Nothobranchius furzeri: one gene and its partner. The protein of the gene in region 2 interacts with the protein of the main gene of each other region in a pairwise test. Links are inferred from orthologs where the notes say so. Each region holds a gene or a part of one and is shown on either strand. Other genes may lie near its edges.

Region 1 (4,257 bases), on a different chromosome or scaffold from region 2:
CCCTGTAAAATAGAAACAAGTCTGTCTTAGACTTAGATGAAAATGTAGACCTTTTACATTTTCATTGTGGAATTATTAAAAATTTAAAGCACTGAGAAAAACTGAATCTGGAAGGAAAAGAACTATATGACACAAATTATAATGCATTTCTATGCAATGTATTGAATGTGTAATTTGGGATCTGAATAATCGCAAAATGATTTAGTTGACATAAACAACTAGTACAATTATTTGACACAATGTTTTGCAAGCATGCTCATGTTGAGATCCTTCATGTGAAAAATGCAGACAAAATTGTAGAAGGAATGCTGAAACTTGCATATTTTGTCAATATCTATGAAACCTATAAACAATGTTTATGAATTTAGAAAACAACTTTGAAGTAAGTTTTATTGGAACTTAATTGATTGAAAACGCAAGAAAACGTAAGCGTTGGAAAGTTGAGCCTCATCAACGCAGAAAGCACTTATGCTAGCTCACTTTCGTATGACAACTTTTCAGCAGAAGACAGCCAGGGGTTCAAAAAGACTATTTTGAACAAAAAATTTAAAAACAACATTATAAGCAAATTAACTGTGTTGCACCCTCGGGGACTTCCAACGACTAAATATGTAAACTACGAAACAGCAGATAAAACGAATTCCTGAACATCATCAATCAGCCAAACCTAGTAAATACAACTAAAGTTTACTTACGTAAAAGTTCATATGCAAAAAGTTTCTACTTAACCAAAGAAAAGACTTTCTTTACTCCCATGTGAGACACTTCAGAAAAGGGAAATAATTTATTTTTAATTATTTACAGGCAGATTTTTAAGTTCCTTAATAAATTAAACATTTTTTAAACATCGATTTTTATTAAAAATGAGTCAACATTCATGATATTTTGAGTGTTTTTCCATTAAACTGGTAGATAACTAACGTGATGGAATATTTACCTGAATAAACTTGATGCAATTATTATTATTATTTTTCCATAAACAAGCAGCCCTAGTCCCACATTTGCCATGCCTCACAGCTGAGTGTTGTATAAAACTAACAAATTATTACCGCATAGCACAACATCTATAATGAAAAGCTTACTTTGATGATGTTACTTGAGTAAAAACTAATTAAAATGATACATATTTCACATCAGAAGTAGTACATACAAAAACTTAGCAAATATTGGCTGTTGTTTCTGTAAAAGGAAGATTCCAATGAGTTTATGTACATAAAGCTAAAAGCCACAAGTCCTATCAATGGTAGTTTAATAACTGAACGCCAGCCGACTAATCAAGATTAATGATTCAGTATTTATAGTTAAACCTTTTGGTTTTGTATGAGCTGAGGCTGATGGATATATTAAATAAATTTCATCATTTTACCACAGCCAAGATCTAACGTTGCTATGCTAGCACTTTCATGATTGATATTAGCACAGGTAGCTAATAAGTCACGGTGTAAATAAAGGATAAACTCAGCGATAAAAAGGAAATAAACTGAAAACAAGTCGCATCTGGAGTCTGGTTTGAGATGAAATATTGCTGTGAAGTGAAGCTAAATAACGAATAATGTAAGGCTCTCTGAAATCTAACCGATAAACGACGTGATTTAGTCACGCACCAACTGGGCAGGCTTAAATAACGTTCCCACTATTTTGTTGTTAAACACTAATACATTTTGCAGTTTATGCAAAGAGCGAATAAAAACGAGGCCTCTTCACATCACAGCAGTTGTTGTCATGGTGGTACTTAAACGCAACGCGACAAATGAATGTATTTTCATTCAATCACGGGGCTAATTATGCATCCATGACTTAAACAAAATGTTCATTTTTAACGTTTCCTTGTAGGCATTTCTGCTACGTATCCTTACCTTTTCTCCGGTGCTTGCTTAGATTACTTTGGGTGTGCAGCCAGCCAGCTACAGTAGCTGCTAGTGAAGAACTGCAGTGTTGACGTTGACGACTCCTCCTACGCAGACGGCGTAAATTACGATGCAAAGCTCCGTTTGTTCTGTCTGATTGGCTGGTGCTGGACACGTGTTTAACGCATGATGCGTCAATTATGCATATTATTACCAACAGATGGCAAAAATAGTATACAACTCACTGCATATTAAAGTGAATGCCGTTTAACTTGGTTGAACTGGTAAACTAAGCTGAGGAAGAGACCCTCAGAGGTGAAAAATGCTTCCTGAACATTTTTTGTGAACGTGTTTATGAGGGTGGTTTGTAACTACAGGTAATGGCCACTAGATGTCAGTATATATCTACTAGATTATGTTCATTCAGTTATTCTTTGGATCATGTTTTTAAAACCTAGAAGATGTGTCTAGTTTTCATCAGAAAAAGAAAAATATTTCAAATTGCTATCAACACACCAGTTTGAAACACTTGTCGTTTTGTCTCGCATTTTTATTTGTATGAATCATTTAAACTATTCTGTCTCAAAAATAGTTACCGTAAATCCTCTAATACAGGCCCGGGCCTATATTTGACTCAAGCTCATCAAGCTCCAGGCCTTTATTGGAAGGAGGGCCAGAATTAGAGGCAGGGCTCAATTTCTATTTGAGCAAAATGAACTAATGGTTCGCTGGAGTTTTTGACAATTAAAATTGTGCCCACATTTTCAAAGTTAAACACATTTCTTTTAACAACGGTAGTTTCTGCTTCAGCCCTCTCCCCCCTCCCCCTGCGCAGCGGCCGCAAACTCACTGATGCGCCTGCAGCCTCTCGGAGTTCCTGCTGCTCTAAACATTAAAATAATTATTTCATTTTCTGTTCCTCACTTCTGATTACCTTCAATGGTGTCTGTTTGTTGCAACCACCAGGTACAAATCTAACTTGTTTTTATTTGACTATTTTTCTGTCCTGTATCTGTTTATTATCTTCCTGCATCTCCTCTCAATCCTAAAGAAAAACTGCTACCTGGGTTCATATTTATTCACCTTATGAGTTACCTTTGAACTGCAGTTCTAAAAGATCTACGGACCGCAAAAACAGCGGAGTGCGCGCTGCTCGCCAGCCACATCAGTTAGGTGCATCACCGAGGACAAAACAGGTGATGCGCCCCGATCCACAGCAGCGAAACGCATCAGGCACAAATAAAAGAATAAAAGACAGAAAACATAAAAGGAAATGAGCCGACATGAACAATCGCATGTTAAATTAGTTTTTGAGGTGGCGACACCTGATTTGATAATGTTACTGTGGCCGTGCTCAGGACACAGATGTCTGGAGCGCGTCAACAATCAGAGCTTTGCATGCGCAAGCTGGTTAAGGTTAGGATGGGGGTGAGGGGAAGATTAAATCGCAAGAGGGTAAACGTCACAATTTGGTTAAATGTCCGTTTTACGGTGGGTGTCAGTACTGACGCTCTGTCACAGCGCGTTGCCTCCCGACGCGCAGGAGCTTGTCACCTGCTGACAGCAGGCTGCTGTCTTTTCCATGGACTGCATCTTGCCGGTCATTATCACGTGACAGCGACTAGTCGATGACAGGCATAAAAAGTCACTATAGAGCGGTGAAGTCGACTAGTTCATACAACCCCTGCTACTGCTCCCCAGAGTGTTCTGCAGCATAATCAGCACGTTCTCTTTGAACTTGAAATCAAATTTTTGCCTCCTCTTTGTCTCCGCACGGTTAAAGTTACCCTCGCGGTCTATCACTGGCAAATCAAAAGTGAGACGGATGACACAACCGCCCCCTGTACTTGCTTGTTACCACATTCCACCCAGCCACAATAAAAAAACAGCCATTATTCACGTCCGCCGACTCCGACACCGGCCAAAATATGATACTGGCAGTTAATTAAATACAGGCTAATATTAGAGGATTTACGGTAAATTGGTTTAATGAATCTGATCCAGCACAATTGTTTATTATAGCAATAACATCACCACAAAGTGCTGCAGAGATCATGTGTACAGATACATCACATGACACTTCCTTATACCTACTCCACATGAACACATGAATAGGAAAATAAAAACAATATGTAAAATAATAATAATACTAATAATAATAAACATATGTTTTATATAGCGCTTAATATAACTACTTAAAAACAGTGTGTGTATATATATATATATATATATATATATATATATATATATATATATATGAGAGAAGAGAGAGAGAGAGAGAGAGAGAGAGAGAGAGAGAGAGAGAGAGAGAGAGAGAGAGAGAGAGAGAGAGAGAGATCTATGGTGCCCGTAGTCATCGGGGCAGTAACCCCCAAACTGGAGGAGTGGCTATAGCAGATCACAGGAACAG
Region 2 (3,983 bases):
GTTATTTACCCTATTTTGTTGAGCATTTTTTTAAATAATCTATTAATACTGATTGTTATTGGAAATTAAACAAAAATATAAAATATAATTAGCTTTTTTGGGGAAAATGCAACTATTTACACCATATTTTCTGACATTATTTATACTTATAGTCGACTAAGTTATAATATATATGTGAGATTTTGAAAAAATATGACATAGAAATGTATTTTCCTCGGGAGTCAGGATATAAAATGTTAATGTACGTGAGCTCAGTGTGTGTGGAGCTGAACATTCCTGCCTTTTACCGTTTCAGCTTGACGCTCTCCACACACACGAACCAGTCAGCGGTGTCGTTTTTATCTTCAGGCAAAATGTGTATGAAAGCAGCTGGAGGCTCCTGAAACGACTCGTTCCTCTTGTGTTACGGTTTTACGCTTTATACGAGTTTATGTATCCTGTCACGGTTTCTGTGGAGAAAAAAACGGTCATTAAACACCCAGCCAGGACAGCTGTTGAGCTGAGTAAGCTAAAGAGCCGAATAAGCTAAAGCTAACGGAGCCAGCGTAGGCTAATATGCTGCTATGGCGCTGTGTCCCCCTTTAGTGCATTTGTAAAAAAAAACGCGTACATTTTGTTTTAGCATTGAAACGTTACTTTATTAATGACTAACAAAAACAGAACTGTCATAAACCCCAAGGTCTGAAGATTACATTTAACAACACGTAAAAACATTCCAACAGCTAAATTTGATAAGATAATTAATAGCGCCTCACCTTCTAATGTTTGTTTCCTTTCTTTCGCTGGCGGATCTAGCAACTTCCACAGTGCCGCGTGCCCAGTGACGGCAGCACCACAACACTCGTCTATCTACCAATCACAGCCTCTTTGTTTGTTACATGACGTAAGGTCACGTTTTTACCATTTCTGATCTGCAGTCAGTTTTTCGTGCTTGTGTGGTTTTGAGCAGCCACCGCAGAAAACAGGCAGCCGATCTCAGGTCGGCTTTTTCAACAGATGTGTTTTCGGCTGTTAAGAGAAAAAACTCCGTTTTTTGGATGAAGTAAAAATAATGCAAAAAAATAAATAAATAAAATAAAAAGTAATACAAATGAAAAGTTCCACCTGTGTTGTGTAACACAAAATTCGAAGTACTCTATGTAGCCAGTAGGTGGCCCTGCCTAGAGTCAGCGAAGTAGGAAGTTTTTTCTTCTTCTCCAGCAGCCACATCACTTCCGAGATCCAGAACAGCAACAAAAGACAGCTCAGGCTGTCTGGTGAAACTTCTGCCTACATTTTGGTGAATGATTTAAGGGTTTAGCATTTTGGCAGGTATGTTGTAATTTAAATTCTTATTTTAAAAACAAGTGAAAATTACGTTGACGTTAAATAAAATCCGGAAGTAGACGTAAACATTAGCTCATAAGCTAGCATTTTACATTTACATTCAGGTTTTAAATAGACTCGTCGTGAGTATAATATTTATATTTGAAATTGCTACTTCTAGACACTGTTGTTTGGTAACGAGAGTTTCTCGGTTATCCTGTTTATTTAGTGATGTGGCACTGGCCGGGCCCTGTTTCTACTTCTTCCTGTTTCTCTAACTAAGGATCGCCATTAAACTAGAAAGACATGTAATCATTAGACAGTGATTGTTTATACACTTGAGACCGTTTTAGATTATGACGTGTCAAATGTGGCGTTTTAAAATACGAAAAATCAAAAGTTAGCTCCATTGACATTTGCGATTATTGCTTTCAAAACAGCTTAAGAACCAGGGAGGTTTACTGGGAACACGAGGAATATGAAAGATAAAATAAGAAGTGTTGGGGTTAAAACATGTGTCTACAGTAGATCTGAAGGTCAATGAAAATGGTGCAGTTATAGAAACGACCATATGTCAAGTTTTCAGTCAATATATCTTTTGGAATCCGTTTTGTGTGTGTGTGTGTGTGTGTGTGTGTGTGTGTGTGTGTGTGTGTGTGTGTGTGTGTGTGTGCTAAAGTACCTTTTTTTAATTTCTCAAATTGTTTAATCTTTGGTATTTTGTCATCGATTCTAATTTAAAAAATAGGATTTAAATGTCCACTACACTACACTACACCAGTTTCAGAAATGTTTTATGCCTGAAGGATTTATAGACTAGAAATAAGGGGCTTCATAGGCAAAAAATAATAATAATAATACATCTACCAGAAAATGAGTGGAAACGCAACCAAAGTCTAAATAAGATGCTACACCGTTGCATCAAATAAAAATGAGTAAATCCAGGCTAATTGTTTTTGTAAAAGTTTAGTCCACATTCAATGTGATTCTGTTTCAGTCAACAGTCTCTAAATGTTATCTGGAGTGCCTAAAGGGGAGAACGTCATGGTGGACATGGACAGCAAAGCTGGAGATTTGTTCATCCCAGATGAGGCCCATCCAACCGGCACAGGGGGCATCGGAGTCCTCTCAAGGTGTGAACCACCATGCTTTCATATTTTTACCCTGGCTTTGGTGTGTTGATGATATTCTATTTTGTTTATTTTTATAGGCTCTGGCTTCCTAAAGGCATCTCGGCCAGCATGGCTAAGGAGTGGTTCGACAGGCGCAGGTTGTCCATCCGACCGTGGGCCAGCTTTGTAGACCAGCGCAAATTTTCAAAACCTCGCAACTTTGGAGAGTTGTGTCAGAGGGTGGTTAAAAATGTGGAAGTTTACAACAGCAACTATACCTTCATATTTCTGGGGCTCATCCTCTACTGCATGTAAGACCTAATCAAAGAGAGCTTCATTAAAACAAAAAATGTTAATTAGATCATCTGTGAGACTCTGGCTTCTAGAAAAATGTCGACAGTCTGCTTTAAATAGCTCCAGCCTGACAGCCCTGTTCATTTTTCCTGCTCCTCAGTATCAGCTCGCCCATGCTGCTGATTGCCTTAGCCGTGTATGCTGGTGCCTTCTACGCCATCCACCTTAAGTCTCTGGAGTCCAAACTGGTTGTTCTCGGTGAGTACATTTCCTACAAATCCATAATCTTTTCAAATTTACCAGATTTAGTTTTTTTTTTTTTTTAACATTCAAGGTCTATTTTTTTTTATTCTGTGTGAAACCTTTTAAATATGTCATCCATGCCTGTTCTGGATTTAACCCACGCTGCATTTAGCACCACAAACCCTATTTTTAATATTTTTCTTCATATTTCTTGTTTATCAGGCAGAGAACTGACAGTCCCACACCAGATGAGTCTGGCTGGAGCCGTTTCTCTGCCCGTTTTCTGGTTGGCAGGAGCCGGAGCCGCTGTGTTTTGGGTTCTCGGTAAGCTGAACATGATTTGTTCTTTCCTCGTAATCTTTTTCTGATGTTTCATCTTGATTAAGAACTAAAATCGTTTCTTTTTACATCCATTTTTCCTGTTCTGTGTGGTTTCCTGTCAGGAGCAACTCTGTTTGTGATCGGCTCTCATGCTGCGTTCCGAGAGTTGGAGGCGTCGGACCTGGATGAGCTCCTCATGGAGCCGGTCTAAAGAGCTGCTCCATGATCAGTCCTCGTTTTGACCCTTTGAGAATCTCCTTGAAGATTTTTTTATATCTATACATATATCCTTCTTCCTCATGTTTACCTTATGGCATTGTATTACGAATGCACCTTATGTTGCATGATAAATAACTGTTGTTACACAAATGCATAAATAATGAATTTCTTATTGCTTGAAGCACATTATTCGCCTTTATCTGCATATATTAAGCCTGCGATGCCTCTGGTTTGTGCCATGAAGCCTCTTGCTCTTTAGCGGAGCATCTGCGCTGAATTCCTAGCTGTGGGCATCCTGCAAAGTAAATTCTGACGGCACCATCCAAACTGCTGGTATCGACGCATGTCCGAAGGTCAAGTGCCATTTAGTTTTTTAATTAGTTTTGAACATTATGTGGCTTCTCTTTTTATTTATTTGATCAGCTCTGGTTCAGACATTCTGGTGGGAAAGGTCACGAAAAGCACATTTTAGAAATTCATTTGTAAATT

Evidence for each region.
Region 1: the proteins of rabac1 (region 2) and trim32 interact in binary tests that used the Homo sapiens proteins (3 or more experiments, as listed by UniProt). The two-hybrid records come from large-scale screens. The link is inferred for Nothobranchius furzeri from reciprocal best matches to the Homo sapiens genes RABAC1 and TRIM32.

Annotation. Positions count from the first base shown.
Region 1 is NC_091746.1:55,651,987-55,656,243, reverse strand, and holds the start of trim32 (E3 ubiquitin-protein ligase TRIM32), read right to left. Parts: upstream 2,807-4,257; 5' UTR 1,857-2,806; intron 1-1,856. UniProt on the Homo sapiens protein: E3 ubiquitin ligase that plays a role in various biological processes including neural stem cell differentiation, innate immunity, inflammatory resonse and autophagy.
Region 2 is NC_091745.1:74,795,263-74,799,245, reverse strand, and holds the start of rabac1 (prenylated Rab acceptor protein 1), read left to right. Parts: upstream 1-1,176; 5' UTR 1,177-1,311; intron 1,312-2,302; 5' UTR 2,303-2,316; coding exon 2,317-2,438; intron 2,439-2,515; coding exon 2,516-2,728; intron 2,729-2,871; coding exon 2,872-2,969; intron 2,970-3,176; coding exon 3,177-3,278; intron 3,279-3,397; coding exon 3,398-3,486; 3' UTR 3,487-3,983. UniProt on the Homo sapiens protein: General Rab protein regulator required for vesicle formation from the Golgi complex. May control vesicle docking and fusion by mediating the action of Rab GTPases to the SNARE complexes.